Macaca fascicularis: one gene and its partners. The protein of the gene in region 3 interacts with the protein of the main gene of each other region in a biochemical or structural test. Links are inferred from orthologs where the notes say so. Each region holds a gene or a part of one and is shown on either strand. Other genes may lie near its edges. The genes, in order: UBE2R2, UBE2E3, UBA1, UBE2A, UBE2D4, UBE2L6 and UBE2Z.

Region 1 (4,180 bases), on a different chromosome or scaffold from region 3:
AAACAATGCTTTGTCAGAAAAGGCATCATGGTCGGGCCGGTGGCTCACGCCTGTAATCCCAGCACTTTGGGAGGCCAAGGTGGGCTGATCACAGGGTCAGGAGTTCAAGACCAGCCTGGCCAATATGGTGAAACCCCATCTCTACTAAAATACAAAAATTAGCTGGGCGTGGTGGTGTGCACCTGTAGTCCCAGCTGCTTGGGAGGCTGAGGCAGGAGAATCGCTTGAACCTGGGAGGCAGTGGTTGCACTGAGACAAGATCACACCACTGCACTCCAGCCAGGGTGACAGAGCAAGACTCAGTCTCAAAAAAAAAAAAAAAAGAAAGAAAGGCATCACATAGATTCAATTTTGTACAACTCATTTTTCCAGTATGCATAAAAATTTATATCTGACAACAGAGAATATGCTTAACATAAACACAGCAATACCTTTCCACTTTGTTACTAATAACTTGCATGTTTTCTTAGAAATTTTAAATACCTCCATCTGAAAAGTATAGGGTAGGCTGACCACAAAAGATGAAGCCTAACAGTCGGTAGGGGTACCGCACTTACATAATATTCTAAAAACGTGCTTTTCTAAGTATTCAGTGACTATCACAGTAGCGAATATTAAACATTCCTGTATAAATCCCATCTCCTATAAAGTTGACCTAATTTCAAGCATAAAACTGAGGTTTCCACCTTTAGAAGGGTAGAAAACAAGAGTTAAGTAATTGGGTAGTCCTAAAAATACACATCACAACTACATGACTAAGATACTCATTTAAAACTTGTGCCAAGATAACCCCTCCCTTCCAAACTAAAATTGACTCACTGGCCTATTTTACTTAATTTTGGAAATAAAAAAATAAAACTAAATGGATTCCTAAGCACTCATTTCCTCTGTCTCTGCCCGCATCATTTAAAACATTCAAACTTTCAATCTGTGATTCCTCCCTGCAAAAACACTCAAGTAAAAACAAAACAAAACAAACACTCATTATCTCCAGGTTAACTACCTTGGAGTTAAAAAAAAAAAAAAAATTAGATTCTAGAATAACCACTGTTCTAAAACCATATGAAACAATAGAAACAATGTCTGTGGTCGCTAAGCAAACATATATCCCACCCAGAGAAGCGATCTCGCCTCAGATACTTGTCACCTGTGAGACCACCCCTTTAGCTAGAGTTAACCACTTGAGAAGGTTTCAATTTTGTCTCTGAAAGTGGGAAGCTATCAATCTCCCTACATGACTCGTTCCACCCTCTGTGGATATTTCTACCTGTAGAAAAAAAGGCTGGCAAACTTGGTGGCACAGTGAGGACAAAGGGCATTTTGAAAGAACCAGTGACTGAGGTAAGCAGAGAATGTGAACGGAAAGAGGGTTAAAGTTCCCCCAAAAGGATAATGACAAGACGCGGGCACCCCTTTTTTTTAACCACCCCTAGGGTCCCATTCTTCACCACCACCCATTGGAATGCAAAGTTGGCACTACTACTACCCAAGAAGTCCAACAAATCCTCAAAATGTCAGGGCACTCGGCAGCTTCTTAAATGACAAGCTGGTGCCCCTCCCCCACCCTCACCCCCACCCCCCCAAAAAAGAAAAGTCCAATCCAGTCGGTGCAGGTCACCCTGCCCTCTGGGGCAGTTCCAGCCTGCGCAGGGAGGGGTTCCGACCGGAGGACGAGAAAGCACAGACAGACCACCGCTCTTTCCACCCGCCCTCAGCTGGGGAAACAAAGACGGCCTCCTGCGCCTGTAGCCACTACCCTAACCAGAGAGAGACTCTCCGATTTCCCGGTGCAGCCTGCCCTCCCGCCCTCGCCCGCGCCCCCGCCCCCATGACAAAGAAAAGGCACTCGGCGAGCAAGGCCTTCCTGCCTCCACGGATGGGGGAGGGGGCTGCCGGGGTGAGGAGCCCCCTCCACTGGCCCGTGCTCATACTCCTGGTCCCAGGAACGGCAGAAAGCGGCGGGGAGCCGGAGGCCTCGGCCGCGGAGGCAGGGTCCGGGAGCGGGGGTGAGGGTACCTTGAAGTAGCCGCCTTCGTAGAGGGTGTTAGGGGGCCCGAAGATGGCCACCTCCCAGTTGTAGAGGTCGGACTCGTCCACCAGGGTGATCCGGAAGCCCTCCACCGGTTCCTCCTGCAGGGATTTCAGCTCGAGCATCAGGGCCTTCTGCGAGCTGGTCATCTGCTGCTGGGCCATCGCGGCGGCGGCGGCGGCGGCGCCGGGCCCGGGCCCCAGTCCTCACGCACCGGCCGGGCCGGACCAGGCCCCTCCCCTCCGCTTGCCCTCGGGCCGGGCCGCACCGGGCCCCGGTCTTCACACACCCGGCGGGCCGGACCAGGCCCCACACGGCCCGTGGGCCCGCCCGCGGTCCTCCTCACACACGACGCGGGCCGGGCCGGGCCCTTCTCCTCACACTCGGGCCAGGCGAGAGGAGAGGTCGAGGGAGTTAGGGGAATTCGCTCCGGGTCCCGGTCCCGGTCCTCCCCCCCCCAGGAGGGGGGCCTCAACTTTGGGGGGGGGGAGAGGAGGTGGAAGCGGAGGAAGGCGGCGGAGGGCCGGCGATGGTGAAGGGAGGGGGCCGGGCCGGCCCGGGAACGCCGCGCTCGCTCGCCCTCTCGTTCTCTTCGGGGGCCGTAGGGACCGGAGGGCGCGCGGGGCTGGAGGGGGTGGGGGGAGAGCGGCGTGCGGGGGTCTCGCGGCGGTGGCGGCGGCGGCTGCGCGGGGGGAGGGGCGACGGCGGAGGAGGAGGAGGAGGAGGAGAGCGAGAGCGCCTCGCGCCGCGGGAGCTACGGAGCCGAGAAGCAGGGAGGGAGGGAGGGAGGGAGAGAGGGAGGAGGGGCGCACGCCGGGAGCTGGGCGGCTCTCAGCGGCTGGCGACCCGACGCGCGTGCGCGCGCCCCTCCCTCCCCTCCCCCCACCGTGCCTGGCTCTTCTACACTACCACCTCCTCCTCCTCTTCCTCCCGCTTCCACGCCTCTTGGCCTCCCGCGCGGTCGCGGCGCTTTGTGACGCCGGCGCGTGTCCCCCGCCTATAAAGAGCCCAGAGGCAGCGGGGACCGAGGATGGGCGCAGGGATTGCCGTGGCCCCATAGTGACGGTTGTGCGGCTGGACGCCGCAGTTCCAAAGGCGTGCCCCGGAAGGGAACCCAGGTCCCCCGGTTCTCGGGGCCCTCCCCACTGTGGATCCAGGGGCCTCGGCAGCCATCCTGGGACGGGCCTGGTCGCTGCAGGCCCCTCCCTGTGACACCCAGTCTGCGGTCCCTCCACTTAGTAGCTACTTGATTAGGATGTGCTGAGAATGTGGGTCTTTTCCGTGGCAACAGACCTTCCCGCAGGCCAGCCCACAGGCAAATATGCCCTTGGGCACGTTACCCACCCTGGGTGCGGCAGTTCCACGTGAGAAACGGGGTAAGACAGAAAGGTCAGCTTCTGCTTCCCTTCTTAACTACAAAGAGGAAGTTGTGAGGAAAAAGAGACAATAACAAAGTGGGTCTCCTGCCCTTCTCATTGTGATTTGGGGCTACCCTTCGCCCTCCCCATTTGTAAAATTGTGCTTGAACTTTGACCCCTTATAGGTCCTTTTGGCTTGAATGTCCACCCTGGAACTGAGGGACTTTCGAGATAATCATAACCGAAATGAGATGTGGGGACAGTCTTTGGTCCCCGTGGTTCAGAATACAGTACTCCTTTCTCTTAGGAAGGCGTGTCCTAGGATAACTGCCTAAAAAACATTTCCTAGAAAAGCCAGAATACCGTGAGAGTTCTACACACACAATTTCGGAATCGGACAGATCTTGGTTCCAACCCTAGTTCCACACATTACTTCTCCCTGTCTCATCAGTTTTTTGTTTTTTTGTTTTGTTTTGTTTGAGACAGGGTCTTGCTCTATCACCCAGGTCGTCGCACAGTGGCGCGATCACGGCCCACTGCAACCTCCTCCTCCCAGGTTCAAGCGATTCTTCCACCTCAGCCTCCCAAATAGCTAGGACTACAGGTGCTTGCCACCACACCCGGCTGTTTCATCAGCTTCTGTAAAAGGGGATTAATTATACCCAACACAAGCAATTATAATGATTAAACGTATGTACAGCATTTAGCGTAGTGACTGGCACATGGTAAATGATTCATAGGAACTTGAAAGAAAAAACTTTTTTTTTTTTTTTTTGAGACGGAGTCTCGCTCT
Region 2 (3,624 bases), on a different chromosome or scaffold from region 3:
TAAATAGAGGTTGGTCCCCTAATCAACAAATATATTCTACTCTCTTCAATGCCCAGGACCCCACCTTGTCCCTTCCTCCAGCTTACACGAGGGGCAAGTGGCAGCTCTTCTCCGCCTGCGTGCCTGGCCTCGCCAACAACACCCATTAGTCTCCCGTCTCCCGGGGCGGCGGGGGACTCCCAACCACGCGCCCAGGGCCCTTTCCCAGGTACTGGGGCCCCGGGAGCCACGACGTCCCCCACGCAGGCGGACGGGATGGAACTAGCCCTGGGGACGCGGGTAGCCCAATGGGCAGCCTCCGCCCGGAGGCGGGCCCAGGCCGGAAGCCACCCCGCGGCACAGCGGCCCCACGATACGGTGCCCGCGCCCCCGCCTTCTCTGGCACAGGCTCCGCGGCCAAGGGCGGCAGGGGCCAGCCCGCCAGGTCCCCGCCGCGCTCTTTGTCCTGGCCGCGCGCGGGCGGACGCGTGCACCCCCCGGGTGAGGGGAGGTGCGGGGAGCGCGCGCGGGAGCGCGCGGGAACAGCTCGCGCCCGCCGGGCGCCGGCGGCGCGCGCCCCTCCGCCAGGCAAGCAGCGAGCACGCGCGCCGCCGCCGCGCCCGCCCCTCCCCCCGCGTTCGCCTCGGAACTTGCTGACTGCGCGGCCGGGAGGAGCCGAGCCGGGCGGCGGCGGCGGGAGGCCACAGCGCGCGGGGGTCTCCCGCGTCCCCTCCGCCTCGCCGGGAGCTCGCGCCCTCGCCCAGCCGAGCTCCCACCCCCCCTTTTTTCCGAAGGCGCTGGGCGGCGCCACCCTCCGGCCGGAGCCCGGCACTGCACAACCCCCTCCGACTTTCAATGTTCCACACTCCCCGGCCAGAGCCTCCTCGGCTTCTTTTTTTCCCTCCCCCCCCTTCCCCCCCCCACAGCTGCCTCCATTTCCTTAAGGAAGGGTTTTTTTCTCTCTCCCTCCCCCACACCGTAGCGGCGCGCGAGCGGGCCGGGCGGGCGGCCGAGGTAAGGCGGAGGGGCCGGGGGGCCGCGTGGGGGGCGGCCGGGGCGGCGGCGGCTGCGGTGGGGGAGGGGGCGGGGGCGGGCAGCTTTGTTCGCGCCGGGCGCCCGCGCCGCCGGTGTCCGCGAGCCGCGGCGGGGCCGGCCGGGCTGCTCGCATCACTTGGCGCCCGGCGCGGCGAGCGCTGCCCGCGGCCCCCGCGCGGCCCTCCCCACAAAGGGCCGCGGAGCTGCGTGGCCGCCGCCGCCGGCCGCGACTCGCCTCCGCGGGCGCGGAAATTTGTTGCACTTCTTGGGGCTTTGTTTGTTTGTTTGTTTTTCCTCTGGGTTTCTTATTTTTTTCGTTATTTTGGACAAAATGTCGGTCCGTGATGTAAAAATTGAGCGAGGAACCTTGGTGGCATTGGGAGCTTTGCAGAAGGTGCAGTTTGAATTCTGCTTTTCCCAGGGTGGCAGCTAGGTCTTGGCCGGATGAATCTTCGCTGCTGGCGGTGGAAACAGCTAGAGGAGCTCGTTAGTTGATTTTTAAATTTCCAAGTGTTGTGTTTAAAGCCTTTACGTGCACTGAGAAGGAATCGCCACCTTAAATAAGCATATGGGCGATTAACAGGGTGTGTTTTCCTCTCGGAAAGGGAATTTGGTAGCTTTGACCAATGTCAGTGTGTAAATATTTAGACGTTATTAGTGACTTTTAAACATTTTTTCAGCGAGATCTGTTATTTACAGTATGTCATATGTTATTAATGCTTGTTGCCTAAGTTCCTTGGCAAATCTGTTTCATGCCTTCTGAGAAAGTAGACAATTGATAGATTGTCCAAGAGATGGAAAAAAATGTGAGTGGGTTTTCTAACTTGAGTTCGGCAAATCCCTGAACGCTGGCGTTGTGTGACACATCACCTCCCTTGTAACCCTTGTTGTATGATGAAATAAGTGTGAACACTTTTGAAGCTTTTTCATTACAATACGATATTAGATGAATAGAAGAAAATGCTGTTGGTTTATTTCCTAGATTTAACATTTTCTCCCCATCCTCCCCTGTTCTCTTTAAAAGTTTTCCAAGAGATAACTTCACCAAGATGTCCAGTGATAGGCAAAGGTCCGATGATGAGAGCCCCAGCACCAGCAGTGGCAGTTCAGATGCGGACCAGCGAGACCCAGCCGCTCCAGAGCCTGAAGAACAAGAGGAAAGAAAACCTTCTGCCGCCCAGCAGAAGAAAAACACCAAACTCTCTAGCAAAACCACTGCTAAGTTATCCACTAGTGCTAAAAGGTAATGTGTAAAAGAAGGATCCAGCACACTTTGTCAGGTTGTCTTCCAGGTGGTTGGACGCTTTTGTTGGTTTTACATCAGTAGCAATAGTTCAGAAATATTTACTTCATTATCAGTTTATTTGTACTTGAATGAGTTGTCATTCTTTAGGTGGTATGTATGCAACCTTGCTAGAATTATGCTTTTAAGCAAACTTATTCTGTACTTCGGTAACTTCAGTTGAGTATCCTTGAGTAGAGATTAGACTAACATTCTGACAGATTGTTTAAGGAGTTGGCAAGGAAAATTTGGTGAACCCAAATTAGATGGTACTTTGGGGATGTTTCCTTTTATGAGTCATAATCTTCTTTAATGAAATTGACACTTCCAGAGATTAGCAGGGCCTCTCTTCATGAAACTTAATGATCAGAAATGATCATATTTGCTAGAAAATTGCAAATTCAGGCCTTTGCTATGTTTGAAAGCAGATTTAAAATCGTGCTGCAAATCTGCTTACAGTTTTACAAAACATGACTTTAAATCATGTATCACAGGTAACTTTCGTGGTTAAATTATGATTATCCCTCCCTGTGCTTGTGAGGGCAAATCAAACTGAAAAGTAGCCCTTTACAATTTGAGGTGTCACTGGTGATAGAAAACTTTCATTGTCCTTGGACCTCTTCACTCTGAAACTTGTGGATGTGCTTGACAAGTTAATACTCAACAGCAGGAGAAACATATTTAATTGGATGTAAGTGGAAGATCATTTGTTTCCTATTGATTTATATTTTCTGATAGAGAAGAAAAGATTCTGTCAATGAGACTCTGTCAGTGGTAGTAGTAGTGGAACATCCACAAACTCTAGTAATTATACATAAAATGTATAATCTCTACAGCGTTAGCCAATGTTGACATTTTGTTAATTTTTATTGATCACAACTAAAGGAAAAAATATTTCTACAAATACTGCATTCTGTGGTGATTCATAAATACTCATATTTTTCTATGGATTTTCACCTTTATTGTCTCAGTAATGATGTATTAATAACTTGAGAATATTTTTGAATGGCAGCAGTCTTTGACATAATATAAAATCCTTCTCAATTTGGTATAGTGTTGATGCAGAACATATTAGACACGTCTAAAGTTTTGAAAGCATCTTAAATTTGAATCAAATCAGAGAACTGCTTTTCTCCCCCTTAACTCAGGCCTATGTATTTTCTCTTTCTGTCAATATTTACTAAATTTAAGTGCTGTGCCTATGATCAGGGAAAACAGAAATGGGTAAATTAGAATGTCATGTAGTCTTCGAAAGTTTTTCACCAGTAAAGATATTTGTAAATTTTAAACTTTTTTTTTGACAGATAAAATATTGTCAGAACTGTTAA
Region 3 (2,622 bases):
TTCCATAAAAATTGCAAAGTATGCCTGCAGGCACTGGCATTCAGCAGAGCTGTTTAAGACACCCCTGCAGCAAGGAAATTGAACTAAGAGCACCACAGGCATTCCTGGTGCTGGGAACCATGACTACAAAAGGCTGCCCAGGGTCTGAGTGCTTTGAGCCAGGTGGGAGGGGATCTGCTCTAAGGACATAAGGCATGCTGGCCATGCCCTAGCAGCCTGGTCACAACTTTCCTCTTCACAGAGCAGGGAGTTAGGACATGGAGAAGGTGAGAATTGAACCCAGCTCAAATTAATAGTCACATGGACCCAAGTACCTGCTCACTGGCCTCACTGGTGCCTCCTTTTCTTCCTAGGCAGAGAGGGCAGGAAGAGGTGGCAATTACATTTTCTTTGCCCAGAAAACTGGCAGGTGTGGTGGGGCTGAGCCCTCTGAGTTACCATCTGAACCAGATAGTTCCAGGAAGTCCCTTCCTTGCCTGGAACCAGCAGGGCAGGCGACGTGGGAGTTATTAATTCTTTATTAGGATTCAGGTTTCAAACAAGGTAGAAGGCAGTGGCAAGAGGAGTTCAGGTAGGGGGATGATGAGGGAACACCAGACTTGGCTAGCTGGGCCACTGCCAGAAGCCAAATGGGAACCCTGGGCTGGAAGGGGCGTGGAGAGGGATGGACAGGGGCCGGCCTAGAGGAGCAGACGGGGGTCAGCGGATGGTGTATCGGACATAGGGAACCTCGACATCCTCGCCGCTCTCGTCGTTACAGCACAGCTCAAGCACCAGCGCCCGCACGTGGCGGCCCAGTTTTCGCTTCGACACACGGCTCACAATCTCTGTCATCCTGGGGACAGGGGGATGGGAGCATAGGGTCAGGAGGGCAGAAAGCAAGAGAGGACGGGCAGGTAGGTGGGGGCAGTGAACTGGAGTGGGACAGCTGGATGTTGAGGTTCCCCAACCCATACAGGGCCTCCCCCCAGCTTGGCCAGTGGCCAACTCACGGCTGATCCAACCGTTCCTTGAGCTTGGCAGCTGGCATGAAGAAGGAATAGAGCATGGACACGCCCTGGGACAGCATGGTGATCTCTAATTTGTGCTCTGTCTGGAGAGGGACGGGGAACAGCAGGGTCATGGGGGTGGACAGGCCAGCAAGTCACCTTGCACACCTCGCCCCCCAAGGTGGGGTGAGAGAGAGAGGGAGGGGCCTTACCTTAAAGTAGTCGAGGAACTGTTTGAGGGTCATCTCGTCACCATTAGGCTGCAGCCCTTGTACCTCAAAGCGATCCCACAATGTCCACTCTTGGTTATAATACTGCAGGACAAAGAGGGGAGTGTAAGATGGAGACCATCCCAGAGGGTCCAGCCCCCATCTGTCTCCATCCCCCTCACCCCCATGCAGACGTGTTCAGTCAGATCACAATCCTCTTTTGTTCGAAATCCTCTTGTGGCTCCCATCTCACCCCAAGCACTGAAATTGTTTTCTTCTCATCTCCTACTCTCCTCAGTCTCACACTCACTCCGTGGACTTTGAATTCCTCCAACTTGCCAGGCACACCCCTATCTTGGTACCCTTTTAAGAACTGGTCCCTCTGCCTGGAATGTGTCCCCACTCACCACCAAGCCTGCACGGTTTGCCCCCTCACATCCTCCAATTCTGATCTCAAGTGTCATCTTTTCAGCAAGGCCTTTTCTGACCATCCCACGCAAAATCTCAAACACATCCCCTTGCCCCCTGGTATTCTCAAGTCCTCTTTATCTTTTTGAGATGAGTTTTGCTCTTGTTGCCCAGACTAGAGTGCAATGGCACGATCTCGGCTCACTGCAACCTCCGCCTCCCAGGTTTAAGTCATTCTCTTGCCTCAGCTTCCCGAGTAGCTGGGATTACAGGTGCCCACCACCATGCCCAGCTAATTTTTTGTATTTTCAGTAGAGACAGGGTTTCATCATGTTGACCAGGCTGGTCTTGAACTCCTGACCTCAGGTGATCCATGTGCCCCAGCCTCCCAAAGTGCTGGGATTACAGGCGTGAGCCACCACGCCCGGCCTCTTTTTATCCTTTTTTGATTCCAAGATCATTTAATAGGTTATTTATATCATCTACTTGAGGAACATAACTTAGAAGAGTACCTGCACACAACAGGTGCTCAATAAATATTTGAGTGAATTCATGAATGAAGCAAGCAAAGCATATAAGTGTAGGAAGCATCCAATAAATTTTGGCTGCCATTATTGTGTAGTTAATAATACTAATAATCTCCCAGGGCACAATTCAAATATCCCATCTTTTCGCATGTACTCAAACAATATGATTAATGAATAAACGAAAAAGGATGCATAAAAAAGGTAGGTACACATAGACAGAAACCCTCACCTGGTGACAGGGTATGACGTGAATTAGAACCAGAATCTACAGACATACCCCACCCAAACCCCACTTCTGATGCGGGCCCCCACCTGGTGACGTGGTGCGGCAAGGGGTTCAGAGAAACCGAAGAAAGGCAGGGCCAAGTTGAGGAAACCATTCTTGTAGGAGTCAAGCTGTCGGTGCCCCTGCACAACCTTGTACAGCTCCAGACACACAAGGCCAACCACGGCTGCTGTGGTCGTGGCAATGGCTGGGATGATCTTCCC
Region 4 (4,024 bases), about 79 Mb from region 3:
ATAAAGCTGTGCCCAGCATAAAACAGAGTAAAACGAGGAAAAAAGAAGCCAATGAAAACAAAGCCTACTAGAGCTAAAGCAAATACACAGTTAATCTGTACATTTAAATCTCAGGTATAAAGAACTAGTGCTGGCTGAGTACGGTGGCTCAAGCCTGTAGTCCCAGCACTTTGGGAGGCCAAGGCGGGTGGATCCTAAGGTCAGGAGTTTGAGACCAGCCTGGCCAACATGGTGAAACCCCATCTCTACTAAAGATACAAAAAATTAGCCGGGCGTGGTGTCGTGCACCTGTAATCCCAGCTACTCAGGAGGCTGAGGCAGGAGAATCACTTGAACCCAGGAGGTGGAGGTTGCAGTGAGCTGAGATCGCGCCATCGCACTCCAGCCTGGGTGACAGGGCACGACTCCGTCTCAAAAATAAATAAATAAATAAATAAATAAATAAATAACTAGTGCCAATCTGGTAGAGGAAAATTTAAGTCTAGCTATAGTTTCTTGCTACAAATCAGCTCAAATGATTAACTGCACCAAAGTAGTATGCCCTTACAATCACTGTCTCCTGCTGTCATTTCTTTTCATTGCAGCCCTGAAGAACAATGATATTTACCCAGGGGGTAAAGGTAGAGAGGAAGCTAAAAATATTCAGGTGACTGTCCACAGTTTCCTGGAGAAATCTAACTACTTGAGATGAATTATAGACTTAGTTGATATTGACTTACCTCACAACATTTTGCGGACTGGTAGCATCAAAAAGCAATCCGGCTCAGCAACATAAGTATGTATTAAGTAGTTTGCAGAAATGTTTTTGTTCCCACCTTCAAACTGAAGTGTGTGTGTGTGTATAAATGCTATGTGACCGAATGAAGATAAATCATTGAGGAAAAAAAATAACAGAAACATCCTTTTCCTTTTTTTAAAAACCTCAAATATTAAAGAATTTCATAAGTTCAAATACTTTAATCATCCTTTAAATGTATTAAACTTTCAAAAAACAACAACACACACACACCACACACACAACTGAGTGCAGAACTATCAATGTCATTTTTCTGGTTGTGATAGGGTCTAGTCATTCAAGATGTTACCAAACGGGAGGGTTTGGGGAGAGGACTGGGTTAAGGGTATAAAGGGTGTCTCTCTTAATTTCTTGCAACTGCATATGAATCTATAATTATCTAAAATCATAAAGTTTTAAAAAAGCAATTTACACATGTGTTTTTAAAAGTTAAACCTAAATCACTTAAAAATTATGTACCTACTGGTACATGTAGTACTTTCAAGTAGGCGGGACACTGATCAAAAGGGTACAGTGAGGCTAACTTCAATTGTGAAGCTGCTTTGAAATTACTGATCATAACGTCTTGATGAAAGCACACACTGTAAATTCACTTAAAAATAAGAAACAATACTGTACTCAAATGAGGCATTTAAGACCATCTTAGAGAAGTGAGGCTGACAGGCATTCAATGTCAGATTGTAGAAACCAGACAGTTGAATGGAAGGGACGCTTGCATCCACTCAACATCCAACACACATCTACCAAGCACCTGCTGACCACAATTCCTGCCCTTGGGGTAGAATTCTGAACCAGATGGTCTCTGGTGTTTCTGCTGACTATCAGCAACTGGTTGGGTTTATACTAATTCAGTGATGGAGGGCTGAATTTAGCAGAATCACAGCCCAAGCCTCAAAAATCCTTAATATCAGTGCTATGATTGCTCCTTTTAAAAAGTGACTGCCTTCCCCAGATTTTTTTTTAAGAAAACAAGAAGAAAGGTGCAGTTCTAGTCAAGCATACAATATCCAGAACGACCAGCTACACACTGCATTCCACTCAAGCCTTTAGCAGACAGAGACTAGGCACAGCCAGGTTCCTAAGCAGGAGACACTTCCAGGATGAGTGGGAACCCATTCCCCAGATGATCAGGCTCCTGAAAAGTGGGTAAAGAAACTCTCTCTTACCATCCTCAAACGGGGTCCCTTCAGGCCTGCAACACAGAGAAAAATGGTCAGTTCCCACTTAAGGGGCCCCCTTCTCCCTGCTTCATCTGAGATGGCTATCCCGAGCTCTGCCACCTCCCGCACCGCTGCCGGAGTCGAAAGCCACTACAAATAGATGTCCCGGGCTCAGAGACACAGGGCAGGCCGCCGCGCCTAACCGCCACCACTCCCCGCCCCGCCCCCCTAGAACCCCAAGCGGTTCCCCCTGGCAGCGGGAACTGAGCTAATCGAGGCACAGGCTCCGGGGAGGCGCCTAGGCCCAGCCAGACCCAAACATTTTCCCCTACCCCCTCGGCCTCCACGGGGGGCCCGCCTTGGAGCGCAGACCGAGAGGGCTCGCGTACCCGGTTCTCTCGCCACCGCCACGAACGCAGACTCACCCGAAAATGACCGCGTTCCACACCATTATGTTGTTCTCGGACGGAGCCCCGCTGACTCCGGCTGGAGGATCCTCCTGCAACCTTCGGGAAGACAGACAGGGGTCCCCCTAGGCCGGCACTGGCGCCCGCTCCCGGCCGCTCCCCAGCCCTCCCCGCCCGGCGCGCCTCGGGACCCGCCCTGTGCCCCGGCTCGCAACCCCCGGCCTCGGCCGTCCCCTCGGTTTACCTCTTGAAGTCCCGCATGAGGCGCCGCCGAGCCGGAGTGGACATGTCGCGAGCGGGGTCAGGGGTGGGGCATACACTGGGGTCTCGGGTTCCCGCGGCGGGCGACGAGGCCGAGGACGCTGGAGAAGCCGGAGAAGGGGAGGCGGAAGCACCCAGAGGCACCGCGCTGCCTCTCCGAAGTCGAGGGTCGGTCTGGCGCCGGCTAAGCACCACCCCAGTGTAGACGGGGGCTGAACCAACCTGAGAGCAGAGAGAGGGGGGTGGAACGTCGAGCGCCGGACAGGCCGTACCAAGACGGGGCGGGGGGTGCGCGAGGAAAGTTGCTTATGTCATTAAAGCCCCGCAGGAGGCCGGGGGCGGGGCCGCGAGCTCAGAGGCGTGGGGTACGCTGGAGCCCGGGGCGCTGGAGGACCTCGTGGTGGAACGGGGTCCATCCCCACCTGCTAATTCTAAGGCAAACCCTGGGAAGTTTTCGGCTTTTTTTCTTTTTCTCTTTTTTTCTTCCTTTTTTTCTTTTTCTCTTCTTTTTTGTTTTGTGACCAGATCATTCATGAGAGCGCGCACTATGCCCGGGGAGGAGGGGGGAGAAGTTTGGAAGTCCCAAACTAGAGGACGAAGGAGTGGGCGGAGGTAAAACCGGTTCTCAAAAAGCGGCAACTCTAGGGTGCCCAATCCCTGCGGACACCGGAGATTGGGGTCGGAGGGGTGCGGAGCAGAGTGATTGGTTAAAATCACGAAAAATCAAAAGAATAAATTGGCCTTGACTATGACCGGCGGGCGGGGCGGGGCTGTGGGATTGAATGCAGGATTGGGCGCTCAACGTTTAGGCCAATGATCACCCCTGGGCAGAATGAAATGGTGTTGTATGTCCTGTGGGAGGGAATGGGAGCTTAAGGCAGGCAGAGTAGGGTTTTGTTTTGTTTTGTTTTGCTTTGGGCACTCACAATTTGGCTCTGGAACCACATTTTCCCTTGGTAGTTCAACAAGCCGAGCGGCTATTATATGTTCAGAAGAGTCCACAGTATGAGACTATCCGACTGCAGGGAGTTGCAAGGACAGTGGGTCTGAAGTAAAAGGAACGTGGAAAAGCTGCAGGTTGCGGGAAGAGTCACAGTCCGTGGACCTGCAAAAGCAGTAACAGTTTTAAAGGATAATTTTTAAAGGTCAACCCAAAATAACTTAGAAGATAGGCATAATACACATTTAAAAATTATTGAAAATAGGAGAAAGGTAGGTTTGGGTTAAGTCATCAAGAGTTTTGAATGCCAAGCTAATGGATTCCTTGGAAGTCCATTAAGCAGGGAAGTGACATCATTAGAGCTGTGCTTATCAGAGATTGGTCTCAAGAGAGCAGGCAGGAGACTCTTGCAGTATCTAGGTGTGAGATACTGAACCAGGCAGTGACAGTAAAGGCAAGT
Region 5 (4,165 bases), on a different chromosome or scaffold from region 3:
TTCACCACGTCCTCTCCTCAAGTCCTGTCAATTCCACTTCTGTGATGTGGTCCAGGCACTGCTTTGTGACCCATTTTGTACACCTCCTTGTTTCACTTTCACCACATCCTCTCCTCAAGTCCTGTCAATTCCACTTCTGTAATGTGGTCCAGGCACTGCTTTGGCCTAGCATCCATTCCATGGTCATTAATTTGGGCAAAGCCTCTGCTGAATCTTCACAACAGCCTCTAGTCTCCCTCTGTCCCACTTTAGGCCACACTGCCGCCAGAAGGATCTTTTTATAACACAGATCTCAGCACGTCATTCACCTGCTTCAAAGCCCTAGGATGACAGATGACCCCTTTCAGAGAATAACTCATCAAAATTATCTCTCTTTTGGACAGCTATTTAAAAAGAAGAGTCATACTCTCAGAGATCCTGTTATTCCACCTCTGGCAATCAAACCCAGTAATGTGAATTAAGGAAAAGGCTCACTGTACAATGATGGTTGATCTGGTTTGGATATTTGTCCCCTCCAAATCTCATGCTGAAATGTGATCGCCAGTGTTGGAGGCGGGGCCTGGTGGGAGGTGTCTGGGTCATGGGGGCAGATTCCTCATGAATGGCTTGGTAGCCCCCCAACAATAATCTGTGAGTGCTCACTCTATTAGTTCATGCGAGATCTGGGTGTTTAAAAGAGCTGGCATCTCTCTCGCTCCCTTTCTTACCAGGTGACACGCCTGCTTCTCCTTTGCTTTCCGCCATGATTGTAAGCTTCCTGAGGCCTCACTAGAAGCAGATGCTGGCACTATGCTTCTTGTACAGCCTGCAGAACTGAGAGCCAAATAAACCTCTTTTCTTTATTAATTACTCAGCCTCAGATATTCCTTTATAGCAAACAAAACAGCCTAATACAAAGTTCATAACAGCAAATAGTGAAGAATTTTGAACAACAGCAGCTAACTCATATTGAGTGCTTGGTATACAGCAAGCATGTGCTAAACACATTTCATAGCATTTAATTCTCGAAACAACTCTGTAAACATGTAGGACTGGGAGGCTAGGAATGATTAAGTGCCTTACCCAAGGTCCCACTATAAGTGACCTCACATTCTCTAACCCAGGTCTGACACCCAAGTTCATACTTTTACCTACTACAGTTTTACCTACTACAGGTAATGACTAAATAAGTCACTAGTCATGTACTTGTGGAAAGTTAATGTTAAAAATTAGTTACAGAACTGGACATGGTGTCTCACGTTGTAATCCCACCACTTTAGGAGGTAGAGGCAAGAGGATCGCTTAAGCCCAGGAGTATGAGACCAGCCTGGGCAACATAGTGAGACACTGTCTCTACAAAAAATAAACAATTGGCTGGGCATGGTGGCATGTAGTCCCCGCTACCCAGGAAGCTTAGGAGGGAGGATCACTTGAACCCGGACGGTTGAGGCTGCAGTGAGCCATGATTGTGCCACTGTACTCCAGCCTGGGCGACAGAGCAAGACTGTCTCAAAAAAAAAAAAAAAGTTATAAATACTACTTCACAACATGCTTACATTTACTATTATGTGAATAAGTGGAATACAAAATGCAGGATAATTGTTTTAAATATAGAAAAAACTGAACATAGGTATGCTAAAATGTTAACAAATAGTAAAGTGATAGGATTAGAAATACTTCTTTCTTCTACTGTTGTGCATTTTCCAAATCCTAGTGAATGCATTAAACCTTCATGGACTCCCTCTTACCTACAGGATAAAAATCAGTTATTTCAGCACTGCCCCTAAGGACCACCCGAGTCCACACCATCTGCCCTTCAGCTTCTCCCCTATCCTGTCAGTCCTCCAGGCCTCGTGGTCTCCCCATTGCCGGGAAAGCCTTTTTCCCTCTTCCCCACCTGCCGAGTTCCTACTCATCGCTTAGGACCCAGCTTCATCCTGGATACCCTTCTGGATACCCTTCTGGATACCCATCCAGCCCTTCTGGATACCCTAGAGGAGCAAGCTTGCCTTACTCCGGGGACCCAGCAACCCGCTGTCCAGGAGCCTGCAGGTGGCCCCACGGCGCCCCGCCAGCGTGACGCAGCCCACGTGGTCACGGCCCGGCCCCGCCCCGCGCTCGCGCAATCCCCTTCTCAGGCTGCGTTAGCTTTTCAGGCTGCGCGGGTGGCTGTTCGGCCACCTTCCTAGGCAGGTGTATCCGCGACTTGCGGAGCCTTTGTCACCTTTCACTTCACGGCAGCGGCGCCCCGCCCACACCTCGACGCTTCGGACACCCAAAGAGTCGGAGGGTGGGAAAGTGCGTACCTTCTGGATCCGCTTTAGCGCCATCCTACCCCGCTGCCGGGGACCCGGGCGGCCCGGCCAGGGCTGCCTGAGGCGGCCCGCTGCCGGGTCAGCCGCCACCGAGCTGCACGCCGGGAGCCGCCGCCTGCGCTTGCGCGCGCGGGGAACTGTGGGGCCGTCGTCGCCGCGTGCAGAGCGTCCTGGCGCGGCCGAGGGGAAGCCGCGGGGCTGCCCCGGTTACGCTGGCCACCCGCACCCGGTCCTGTGGCTTCGACCACTGGTCAGCAAGGCCCCGGAGAGGCCAGCGAAGAGGAGGGGCTCGTTGGCTTTACCAGACGCGCGGAGCACCCTCAAGGTGCCAAACGCTCGCTTGCTCCCTGTTCCTACATCCTGGGCGTCTTCTCAGGCTGTCATATAACTCCTGAGAATAGTGGTTCTTAACTCTGTAAGTATACATACCCTTGTACGCCTTATGGCTGGATGCGTTACAGCCATTTCCATGTAGATGTCTGTGCATACGTGCACACGCACAACTCTCCGCAGTTTTGGAGATCTCCGTGTTCAGTCGTACCTCACGTGATCTTGCACTGCCAATGTTGAGAACCAATGCCTTAGACTATGCATCACCCAAACTTAATTAGCTGTCTCCTTCCTGTTTTCCTAAGACTTGGCAGGCGTGTAGGTCAGAGTTGTTTAAACTGAGGGTTATGAACTATTTAGTGTGTCACGAAATCAATTTAATAGGTTGCAACCAACATTTGAAAAAAAAAAGCCAGACGAAGTGGCTCACGCCTACAATCCCAGCACTTTGGGAGGCTGAGGCAGGCGGATCACTTGAGGTCAGGAGTTCGAGACCAGCCTGGCCAACATGGTGAAACCCCGTCTGTACTAAAAATACAGAAATTAGCTGGGCATAGTAACGTATGCCTGTAATCCTAGCTACTTGAGAGGCTACTTGAGAATCACTTGAACCCAGGAGGCAGAGGTTGCAGTGAGCTGAGATCGCGCCACTGCACTCCAGCCTGGGCAACAGAGTGAGACTGTGTCTCAAAAATAATAAAAAATAAAAATAAAAAAGAGAAAAAAATGTCAGTGCCTTTCACACAGTGAAGGTAAGAATTGTGGAAGTTTTGTTGCTGTGTATATGTAGATGATATTTAATCTTCAGACTGAGACATGTTTGAGCATGAAAGTGGCTCTTAATATAATTACTCTGGGACCAAAGCCATAATTTAGGATTGTCTCCAGCCAGCCAGGACACATGGTCACCTCTATGTTTGTACTTAGGAAACAAAATGTATTATAGACATTTCAATGGTTGCCCAGCTTTGTCCCTGGCTTTCATGCTCCTATTCCCCCAATCTGTCCTCCACACAACTTCATAAACTGTCTGAAATATAAAGCTTACCACACTGCATCCTTACCCAGAACTCTTCAAGGAAGCCCAGTGGCCTATAGCATCACATTCACTGTCATTCAGGGGCCTTCAAAATCCAGGATCTTCAGCCAGGCACAGTGACTCACTGTGGCAAAGTGCCTGTAATCCCAGCACTTTGGGAGATTGAGGTGGGTGGATCCCTTAGTCCAGGAGTTCTAGACCATCCCTGGGCAACATGGTGAAACCCCGTCTCTACAAAAAATACAAAACTTAGCTGGGCATGGTGGTGTGCGCCTGTAGTCCCAGCTACTTGGGAGGCTGAGGTGGGAGGATCACTTGAGCCCGAGAGATCAAGGCTGCAGTGAGTTGTGATGGCACCACTGCACTCCAGGCTGGGAGACAGAGCAAGACCCAGTCTCAAAAAAACAAAAACTCAAAACAAAATCAAGTATCCTCCAGCTTTACCTTCTCCTTCCTACCTCCAGCCCACCTGACTATCAAGTGTTTCCATCACCACAGCATC
Region 6 (3,994 bases), on a different chromosome or scaffold from region 3:
TCAAGACCAGCCTGGCTAACATAGTGAAACCCCATCGCTACTAAAATACAAAAATTAGCTGGGCGTGGTGGCGGGCATCTATAATCCCAGCTACTTGGGAGGCTGAGGTAGGAGAATTGTTTGAACCTGGGAGGCGGACACCAGCCTGGGCAACAAGAGTGAAACTCTGTGAAAGAAAGGAGAGGAGAGGGAGAGAAAGAAAGAGAGAAAAGAGGAAGAGAAAGAGAGGAGGAGAGAGAGAAAGAGAGAGAAGGAGAGAGAGGAGAGAGAGGAGAGAAAGAAAGAAGGAAGGAAGGCAGGAAGGAAGGAAGGAAGGAAAGAAAGAAAGAGAAAGAAAGAAAGAAAAAGAAAGAAAAGAAAGAACAAGTTAAAAAGCAGAAAGACGAAGTTAAAGTGTACAGTTTGTATTAGGTTTTTGTTTTGGTTTTTGGTTTTTTTTTTTTTTTTTTAGACACTCACTCTGTCACCCAGACTAGAGCCCAGTGGCACAATCACAGCTCACTGAAGCCTCAACCTCCTGGGCTCAGGTGATCCTGCCACCTCAGCCTCCCAAGTAGCTGGGACTACAGCAGTATGCTACCATGCCCAGCTAATTTTGGTACGTTTTGTAGAGATGGCGTTTGGCTGTGTTACCCAAGCTGGTCTGGAACTCCTGGGCTCATGCAATCCACCCGTACTACCCAGGCTGGTCTCAAAACTCCTGGGCTCAAGCAATCCGCCAACCTCAGCCTCTCAAAGTGCTGATATTACAGGAGTGAGACACCACACCTGGCCTTTATTAGGTTTCATTTTGCTTGTTTGTTTATGCAATCAGTGTTAACTTGTCATTAGTTTAAAATAACGGGTTATAAGATATTATTTATAAACCTTGCAGTAACCTCAAATCTAAAAACATACAACAGATACATAAGAGTTACCTGACCCAAAATGTCAGCAGTGATGATGTTGAGAAACGGAAGCTCTCCAAACCCAGTCCACAGTTGAGGAGGGGTCCTTTACCACTGGGGACCATTTGAACTTTCTCTGCCTTCTCCCCACCCCCAGCATATAATATAAACACATCCCATGCCCCCCTCCTCTCTCTCAGTCTACCTTCCATCTCTGTTCAACCAATAAGCTGCTTCTGGTGCCTCCCACCCAGAGTCAATGGGCCCTCATTTATCTTTACCCCAAACTAGAAGCACCTGTACTCCTAAGAGTTTCTCTATCATCTGTGACTGTTTGGCAAGAACAAAGCCCAAGGCTGACCAGAGAAGAACTGGAATAAACATTTCCCTGACTTTACTATAACTGGGCACACTTGGACTTTATCTATTTAGGGTGAGTTCTGCCAAAACTTTCCCAAAGCCTGAGGAAGTTGAAACCCAACTTAAAACACACAGTTCTTTCCTACTGCCTAATAGGAAATCACCTGACTAACCAGAACAGAAAATGAAAGTAGAAAGGCCATTGAAAGAGCCTGCAGGCTGGAGGCCTGTAGACCTGGCTTCATAGTCCAGTCCCATTGTTCCTTACTGAAAGACTCTGGACAAGCAAGTTATTTTCTCTGCGCCTCAATTTCCTCATTTGTAAAATGCAGGTATATATTACTTATCTCACAGAACTGCTGTGAGAATTAGATGAAAGAACCATGTACACTGTTTGGCATGTAATGGTTCCAGTGCAGTAAATTCTGGCTCCCATCTCTCTTCCCCTTGGCTGGAAAGACCCTCTGACTCATTTTGCTGCCAACCTCCAGATTTAGGATCTAGGCCAAGCCTGCTCTGGGCGTCCCAGTCTGAGGCCATTTTCTTCTCAGAGGCTGTGGGTAGCAGGCACCCTCTTCCTCGCCTAGAGCCTGCCCTTCCACCCTGCAGACTGGAAGGGGCACTTCTGAGAGACTTGCGGTGCCATACTCACTTCACCAGGATCACCTTCCTCCCTAATCCATCTCCAAACACCCTGGGTTTTCCCACCTTCTGGAGGGAACTGCCCCCTCCGCATCCTTCCAGATCTTATTTCAAATTGTGTCCCTGATAGGAATAAAATTCAACAAGGGCCGGATTTGTGTTCATCTCTGCCCGCCCCACCCCCACCTCCTAGAACAGGGCCAGCACGTGTAGGCATTCAACACTTGTAGAACTCACGAATGCAAGCCACCTACTCCAGGAGGCCTTCCAGGTCCACCTCCGCATCTTGCCTCCAGAGAATACCCAGGGAACTTTGCCCCAAATTCTAATCAGCATTCCGTGTTTCTCAGGACTCTAGTAATACAGGCATCAAATTATGGGATGGGCCATGGGCTTATTCCAAGGCAAGGACTTCATCCTGGTCATCTGTGTTCATAACCCACCACAAGCAGTAGCAGAATGCCTGGCACCAAGATGCCAAGGACCTTTCCTGCACTGGAGATGCACCCAGTTATTATCACAAGTCTCAGGCAGGAAAAGCGAAATTGAAACCAGTTTTGGAGGAGCTAGCTCATCTTCACCACGCAAACGGCTCAAGCGGAGGCCCCCAAACCCCCAAAACTCTAGCTCTGGCCACTCTTGCAGGCCAGTCCTCCTCTGAGTAGAGCGCGGGAAGGACAGGGATTCAGCCAGCTCTGATGCCCAGACAAATAAATGAATGTGCTCGGAGAGCCGCGGAGGGGATGGAGAGAGGAGGGAATGCGCGGGGCGAGGGGAGCCAAGAGAAAGGGGTCATCCTATACGCGGTTACCTTAGCCACTCGTATGCTCGCCATCTCGGGACCGAGTGTGTGCCACTGGCGTCCTCCAGCAGGACCGAGCACCTACACGCCAAACAGCGCGCCCCGCCCCGGGGCCCCCACCCCCGGCAGCCCCGCCCACCCCTCCTCCCGCGGTCGCAGCGTGGACCTCCCGGCATCCGCGCTGGCGGGGCCAGAAGGCCGCCGAGGGACAACGCGCCGGGCAACCGCCCGATCCCCGCGCGGAGGGCTCGGACCCGGGACTCACGGTCCTTGTAGGGAGACGGGGGCGGGCCTCGGGGCGCGAGGCTCTGCTGATCCCTGCCTCCCGCTGGGGGCGTCGTGCACCGGCAGGGAGCGCTCAGGGGCGCTGGGGGGCGCTCATAGGGGTTCTAGCCTTCGCTCCGCCGGCGGCCGCGCCGGGAGCTCTCCGGTCTTGGTCAGCACCCCCGCGCGCCGCCCCAAATACACACTCGCCCTGAATGAATAAGGGAGGCTCGCTGTGCGGACGCGGCTCCGTGACAGTTCTCGGTGGCCTCCACCATCAGACCTCCGCCCTGAGCCCCTGCCCCAGCGAGCATCCGCAGCCGCCGAGCCTGCCGCCTTCCCTCCATGGGCCCAGCGCTCCTTCTCCGAAACTGCGTGAGGGACGGCGTAGACCTGTGCCCTCCAAGCACCGCTGCCCGGCGGTCGGGAATCCTTTATGCTGTCCGGCGTTCGGCGCGGGCTGCAACGTTTCTCCCAGTGGCTTGGGGCAGAGCACCTCAAGGAGGCGCTGTTGGACCCTTTCTCTTTTGCTTTGGGGGTTCGGTCTACCATCATTCAGTCCTTTACTAGGCTTAGTATTTACCAAGTGCCTACTGTATACTGATTTGGGAAACAGTTGGCTGGGGGAAGCCCCAAGACGGACTCAGGAGCCTCCTTTCCAAGAGAGCGTCTGCTTCGCCTCCCTTACTTTACATCTGGTCCATTATCAAGCTATGGGCCTAGTGTGCGCCCCCATGCACAGCTGGAGTCCCCACTCCTCTGTGCAAAGACAGAGTACTTGCAGCCCCTGAGCACCGAGCAGCATCTGGGGAGGATGAGACTTGTTGGGAGGGCCGATCCCCTCCTTCTCACCCTTCCCTACCCCGCTTTAGTCCAGACAAGAAAGGAAATAGCTATATTTTGAGCACTAGTTTGTGGTCTCAGTACCTCACAGGTTTTTTGTTTCCTGTTTTTCTGACAGAGTTTCGCTGTCACCCTGGCTGGAGTTCAGTGGCGATATCGGCTCACTGCAACCTCTGCCTCCCGGTTCAAGCTGTTC
Region 7 (3,500 bases), on a different chromosome or scaffold from region 3:
TGGGCGACACAGCGGGATTCCATCTCAAAATAAATAAATAAATAAATAAATAATAATAAAAATAAACTTCAGCACTAAGAAATGAGTTTATTATGAAGTGCTCTACACATTTGGCTGGAAAAAAGTACATCCAAGCCTTCATCAAACTGGAAACTCCCTGAGGGTGTGGACTGCCTCTCCCAAAGGCTTGGCGTTCTCCAACACAGTAGCTCTCTGAACTTTCTCTTGGGTAACCCTCAGCAGCTTGTTCTTTAAAAGCAGGAACCACATCTTTCCTTCTTCTCTATCTCCCTCTGGTGCCCAACACTGTCTCTGCCCCAAAGTTCCTCAAAGGTGTCAACTACCCAAGTGCCCCAAAGGAATAATACCAAGCAAGCCCTCTTGACACATACCGTAGGGGTTCAGGACAGGGACACTTTCCTTCCATCATGTCACAGACTGCAACTCTGATGGTCTCGTGCCGGATACATTCATTATAGTTTTTGCTGTCTCCTGGATGTCTCTCCTGTAATGTAACAGATGCCAGAGTATCCCAAAATTTAAGCAAAAAGAAAGGCAATGGGAAGAGACTTCAAGATTAGTATGGGGTATGCAAGCCAGTCATACAAACTAAAAAATACCTTTCCCACTGTATGGCAGATCCATGAAGAGCAACCACACCTTTATTTTTGACACCATTCACCCCACCACCCTCCAAATATACCATCAGGTTGCAGGTCATTTGGCCTATAACCAGCAAACTAGATCCACATCATTTTCCTGAATGTCAAGTGAAAGGCCTATCAAGTAAAGATTACGAGGGAAATAACCAAACATAAGAATGATGGTAGGGTTGCTAAGCCTTGTGGCATGCACCAGTAGTCCCAGCTACTCAGGAAGCTGAGGTGTGAGGATCACTTGAGCCCAGGAGTTTGGGTTCAGCCTAGACAACAAAGTAAGATCCTGTTTTTTCAGTTTTTCTTTTTGGAGACAGGGTCTTTGCTGTTGCCCAGGCTGGAATGCAGTGGCACAATCATAGCTAACTGCAGCCTTGACCTCCTGGGATCTAGGGATCCTCGAACTCCTGGGCTCTAGCAATCCTCCCACTTTGGCCTCCTGAGTAGCTGGGACTAAAGACATTAGTCACCACAGCGGGTCCCAAGTTTGTATTTTTTATTATTTATTTGTTTTTTGAGTTTTGCTTGTCGCCCAGGTTGGAGTGCAATGGCACGATCTCAGCTCACTGCAACCTCTGCCTCCTGGGTTCCAGCAATTTTCCTGTCTCAGCCTTCCAAGTAGGTGGGATTGTAGGTGCCCGCTACCATGCCCGCCTAATTTTTTATTTTTTAGTAGAGACGGGGTTTCACCATGTTGGCCAGGCTGGTCCTGAACGCCTGACCTCAGGTAATCCACCCGCCTCCCAAAGTGCTGGGGTTACAGGTATGAGCCACCGCACCCAGCTTATTTGTCTTTTATTTTACAAATTTTTAAGAGGCGGGCTCTTGCTTTGTCGTCCAGGCTGGAAAGTGGTAGGCATGATCAGAGGTTACTGCTGCCTTGAATTCCTGGGCTCAAGCGATGTTCCTCTCCTCAGCTTCCCAAGTAGCTGGGACTCAAGGTGCATGTCATAATGCCCAGCTATTTTTTTTTTTAATTTTTTCAGTAGAGACAAGGTCTCACTAGGTTGCCCAGGCTGGGAAACACTTGTCTTTTTAGGGGGAGAAAAAAAAAAGAAAGAAAGAATGATGGTGGGACAAAAAGGTATAAATGAAGTGAAGAGTCTCAGCGTGGAAAACCTTTAGGCACCAACAAGTAAAGGATGCTTCCTGATTAACCCCTTTACCTGTTATATGTCTCTAGGGTCCCACCATCATTGAACCAATTATTATAAATCAGAAGTAGGGCTGGGCCCGACGGCTCATGCCTGTACTTCCGACACTTTGGGAAGCCGATGCAGGCGGATTGCTTGAGTTCAGAAGTTCAGGATCAGCATCGGCAACATGGTGAGATCCCGTCTCTATAAAAAATACAAAAATTAGCTGGGCATTGGTGATGTGCACCTGTCGTCCCAGCTACTCAGGAGGCTGAGGCGAGAGGATGGCTAGAGCCCAGGAGTTCGAGGCTTCAGTGAGCTATGACTGTGCCACTGTACTCCAGCCTGGGTGACAGAGCAAGACTTTGTCTCAAAGAAATAGTAAAATTAGAAATAAATCTAGCAGAAGCAGAACTTAAAACTTTCAAAAGATAAACTTCAACTTTGGTCTAGAAAGCCAATATAAACAGGATCTCACTATGGTGTGAATGGAAGGGGAGTACAGCCTCCTCTTTACTTTTTCCTGTGCTCTTCTCTTACCACCAACCCCAGTCAATTAGAGCCGTGGCCTCTGATAAAAGCAGCTGATGGGCCAGGCGCGGTAGCTCACACCTGTAATCCCAGCACTTTGGGAAGCTGAGGCAGGTGGATCACGAGGTCAGGAATTGGAGACCAGCCTGGCCAAAATAGTGAAACCCCGTCTCTACTAAAAATATAAAAATTAGCTGGGCGTGGTGGTGCGTGCCTGTAAATAAATAAATAAAATAAAAAATAAAATAAAAACAACTGCAAGTCATTGTAGAAGTAAAAAATAAAAAACACAAGGCTGGGCATGGTGGCTCACACCCGTAATCCCAGCACTTTGGGAGACTGACGTGGGCAGACTGCTTGAGGCCAGGAGTTCAAGACAAGCCGGGCCAACATGGCGAAACCCCATCTCTACTACAAATACAAAAATCAGCCAGGCGTTGTGGTGTGTGCCTGTAATCCCAGCTACTTTAGGAAGGCTGAGGCACTACAATCGCTTGAACCTGGGAGGCAGAGGTTGCACTGAGCTGAGATCACACCACTGCACTCCAGCCTGGGTGACAGAATGAGAGTCTGCCTCCAAAAAAAAAAAAAAGATAAGACCTACAAATCAGCTCCTGCTAATGAGGTCTATTTCAATTAGAATCTCCTCCTGAAATGACTGTTTGGAGAAAGGATGGATTAGGGAATAATTTTAGTTAACTTTTGAAGCCAGACTCGGTGGTTCACGCCTGTGATCCCACCACTTTGTGACGCTGAGGCAGGCTGATCACCTAAGGTCAGGAGTTCGAGACCAGCCCGGCCAACACGGTGAAACGCCATTTCTACTAAAAATACAAAAATTAGCCAGGCGTGGTGGTGTGTGCCTGTAGTCCTAGCTCCTCGGGAGGCTGTGGGAGAACTGCTTGATCCTGGGAGGTGGAGCCAAGATCAAGCCACTGCACTCCAGCCTGAACGACGGAGTGACTCCGTCTCAAAAAAAATTTTTTTTTTCATTTTTGAAAGGTATTTTGTTATCCTTTGTTCAGGTCTATAGAGAAATAATCAAAGTTGGTGTCATCTGTAGTAGTTTAAAAATAAATTAAGCTGGCCAGGCATGGTTGCTCACACCTGTAATCCCAGCACTTTCAGAGGCCAAGGCAAGTGGATCACCTGAGGTCAGGAATTCGAGACCAGCCTG

Evidence for each region.
Region 1: of the proteins of UBA1 (region 3) and UBE2R2, one has a biochemical effect on the other in vitro, tested with the Homo sapiens proteins (5 studies listed by BioGRID, with this or other methods). The link is inferred for Macaca fascicularis from reciprocal best matches to the Homo sapiens genes UBA1 and UBE2R2.
Region 2: of the proteins of UBA1 (region 3) and UBE2E3, one has a biochemical effect on the other in vitro, tested with the Homo sapiens proteins (3 studies listed by BioGRID, with this or other methods). The link is inferred for Macaca fascicularis from reciprocal best matches to the Homo sapiens genes UBA1 and UBE2E3.
Region 4: of the proteins of UBA1 (region 3) and UBE2A, one has a biochemical effect on the other in vitro, tested with the Homo sapiens proteins (6 studies listed by BioGRID, with this or other methods). The link is inferred for Macaca fascicularis from reciprocal best matches to the Homo sapiens genes UBA1 and UBE2A.
Region 5: of the proteins of UBA1 (region 3) and UBE2D4, one has a biochemical effect on the other in vitro, tested with the Homo sapiens proteins (4 studies listed by BioGRID). The link is inferred for Macaca fascicularis from reciprocal best matches to the Homo sapiens genes UBA1 and UBE2D4.
Region 6: of the proteins of UBA1 (region 3) and UBE2L6, one has a biochemical effect on the other in vitro, tested with the Homo sapiens proteins (2 studies listed by BioGRID). The link is inferred for Macaca fascicularis from reciprocal best matches to the Homo sapiens genes UBA1 and UBE2L6.
Region 7: of the proteins of UBA1 (region 3) and UBE2Z, one has a biochemical effect on the other in vitro, tested with the Homo sapiens proteins (3 studies listed by BioGRID). The link is inferred for Macaca fascicularis from reciprocal best matches to the Homo sapiens genes UBA1 and UBE2Z.

The regions. Positions count from the first base shown.
Region 1 is NC_088389.1:65,590,192-65,594,371, forward strand, and holds the start of UBE2R2 (ubiquitin-conjugating enzyme E2 R2), read right to left. Parts: upstream 2,801-4,180; 5' UTR 2,194-2,800; coding exon 2,017-2,193; intron 1-2,016. UniProt on the Homo sapiens protein: E2 ubiquitin-conjugating enzyme that accepts ubiquitin from an E1 ubiquitin-activating protein, and catalyzes its covalent attachment to other proteins by an E3 ubiquitin-protein ligase complex.
Region 2 is NC_088386.1:76,487,114-76,490,737, forward strand, and holds the start of UBE2E3 (ubiquitin-conjugating enzyme E2 E3), read left to right. Parts: upstream 1-1,500; intron 1,501-1,838; coding exon of another isoform or gene 1,839-1,881; intron 1,882-2,038; 5' UTR 2,039-2,063; coding exon 2,064-2,257; intron 2,258-3,624. Other genes in the region: uncharacterized protein, read right to left, coding at 1-1,318, 1,839-1,881. UniProt on the Homo sapiens protein: Accepts ubiquitin from the E1 complex and catalyzes its covalent attachment to other proteins. In vitro catalyzes 'Lys-11'- and 'Lys-48'-, as well as 'Lys-63'-linked polyubiquitination.
Region 3 is NC_088395.1:47,320,515-47,323,136, reverse strand, and holds the end of UBA1 (ubiquitin-like modifier-activating enzyme 1), read right to left. Parts: coding exon 2,446-2,622; intron 1,304-2,445; coding exon 1,202-1,303; intron 1,094-1,201; coding exon 993-1,093; intron 836-992; coding exon 700-835; 3' UTR 501-699; downstream 1-500. UniProt on the Homo sapiens protein: Catalyzes the first step in ubiquitin conjugation to mark cellular proteins for degradation through the ubiquitin-proteasome system.
Region 4 is NC_088395.1:125,912,995-125,917,018, reverse strand, and holds the start of UBE2A (ubiquitin-conjugating enzyme E2 A), read right to left. Parts: upstream 2,801-4,024; 5' UTR 2,652-2,800; coding exon 2,608-2,651; intron 2,463-2,607; coding exon 2,382-2,462; intron 1,989-2,381; coding exon 1,963-1,988; intron 1-1,962. UniProt on the Homo sapiens protein: E2 ubiquitin-conjugating enzyme that accepts ubiquitin from the ubiquitin-activating enzyme E1 and transfers it to a E3 ubiquitin-protein ligase. In vitro catalyzes 'Lys-11', as well as 'Lys-48'-linked polyubiquitination.
Region 5 is NC_088377.1:86,333,873-86,338,037, forward strand, and holds the start of UBE2D4 (ubiquitin-conjugating enzyme E2 D4), read right to left. Parts: upstream 2,801-4,165; 5' UTR 2,766-2,800; coding exon 2,724-2,765; intron 2,710-2,723; exon of another isoform or gene 2,310-2,709; coding exon of another isoform or gene 2,286-2,309; exon of another isoform or gene 2,116-2,285; intron 2,078-2,115; exon of another isoform or gene 1,877-2,077; intron 814-1,876; exon of another isoform or gene 708-813; intron 1-707. UniProt on the Homo sapiens protein: Accepts ubiquitin from the E1 complex and catalyzes its covalent attachment to other proteins. In vitro able to promote polyubiquitination using all 7 ubiquitin Lys residues, but may prefer 'Lys-11' and 'Lys-48'-linked polyubiquitination.
Region 6 is NC_088388.1:16,046,504-16,050,497, reverse strand, and holds the start of UBE2L6 (ubiquitin/ISG15-conjugating enzyme E2 L6), read right to left. Parts: upstream 2,801-3,994; 5' UTR 2,725-2,800; coding exon 2,701-2,724; intron 1,410-2,700; exon of another isoform or gene 918-1,409; intron 1-917. UniProt on the Homo sapiens protein: Catalyzes the covalent attachment of ubiquitin or ISG15 to other proteins. Functions in the E6/E6-AP-induced ubiquitination of p53/TP53. Promotes ubiquitination and subsequent proteasomal degradation of FLT3.
Region 7 is NC_088390.1:57,796,746-57,800,245, forward strand, and holds part of UBE2Z (ubiquitin-conjugating enzyme E2 Z), read right to left. Parts: intron 1,997-3,500; exon of another isoform or gene 1,823-1,996; intron 506-1,822; coding exon 393-505; intron 1-392. UniProt on the Homo sapiens protein: Catalyzes the covalent attachment of ubiquitin to other proteins. Specific substrate for UBA6, not charged with ubiquitin by UBE1. May be involved in apoptosis regulation.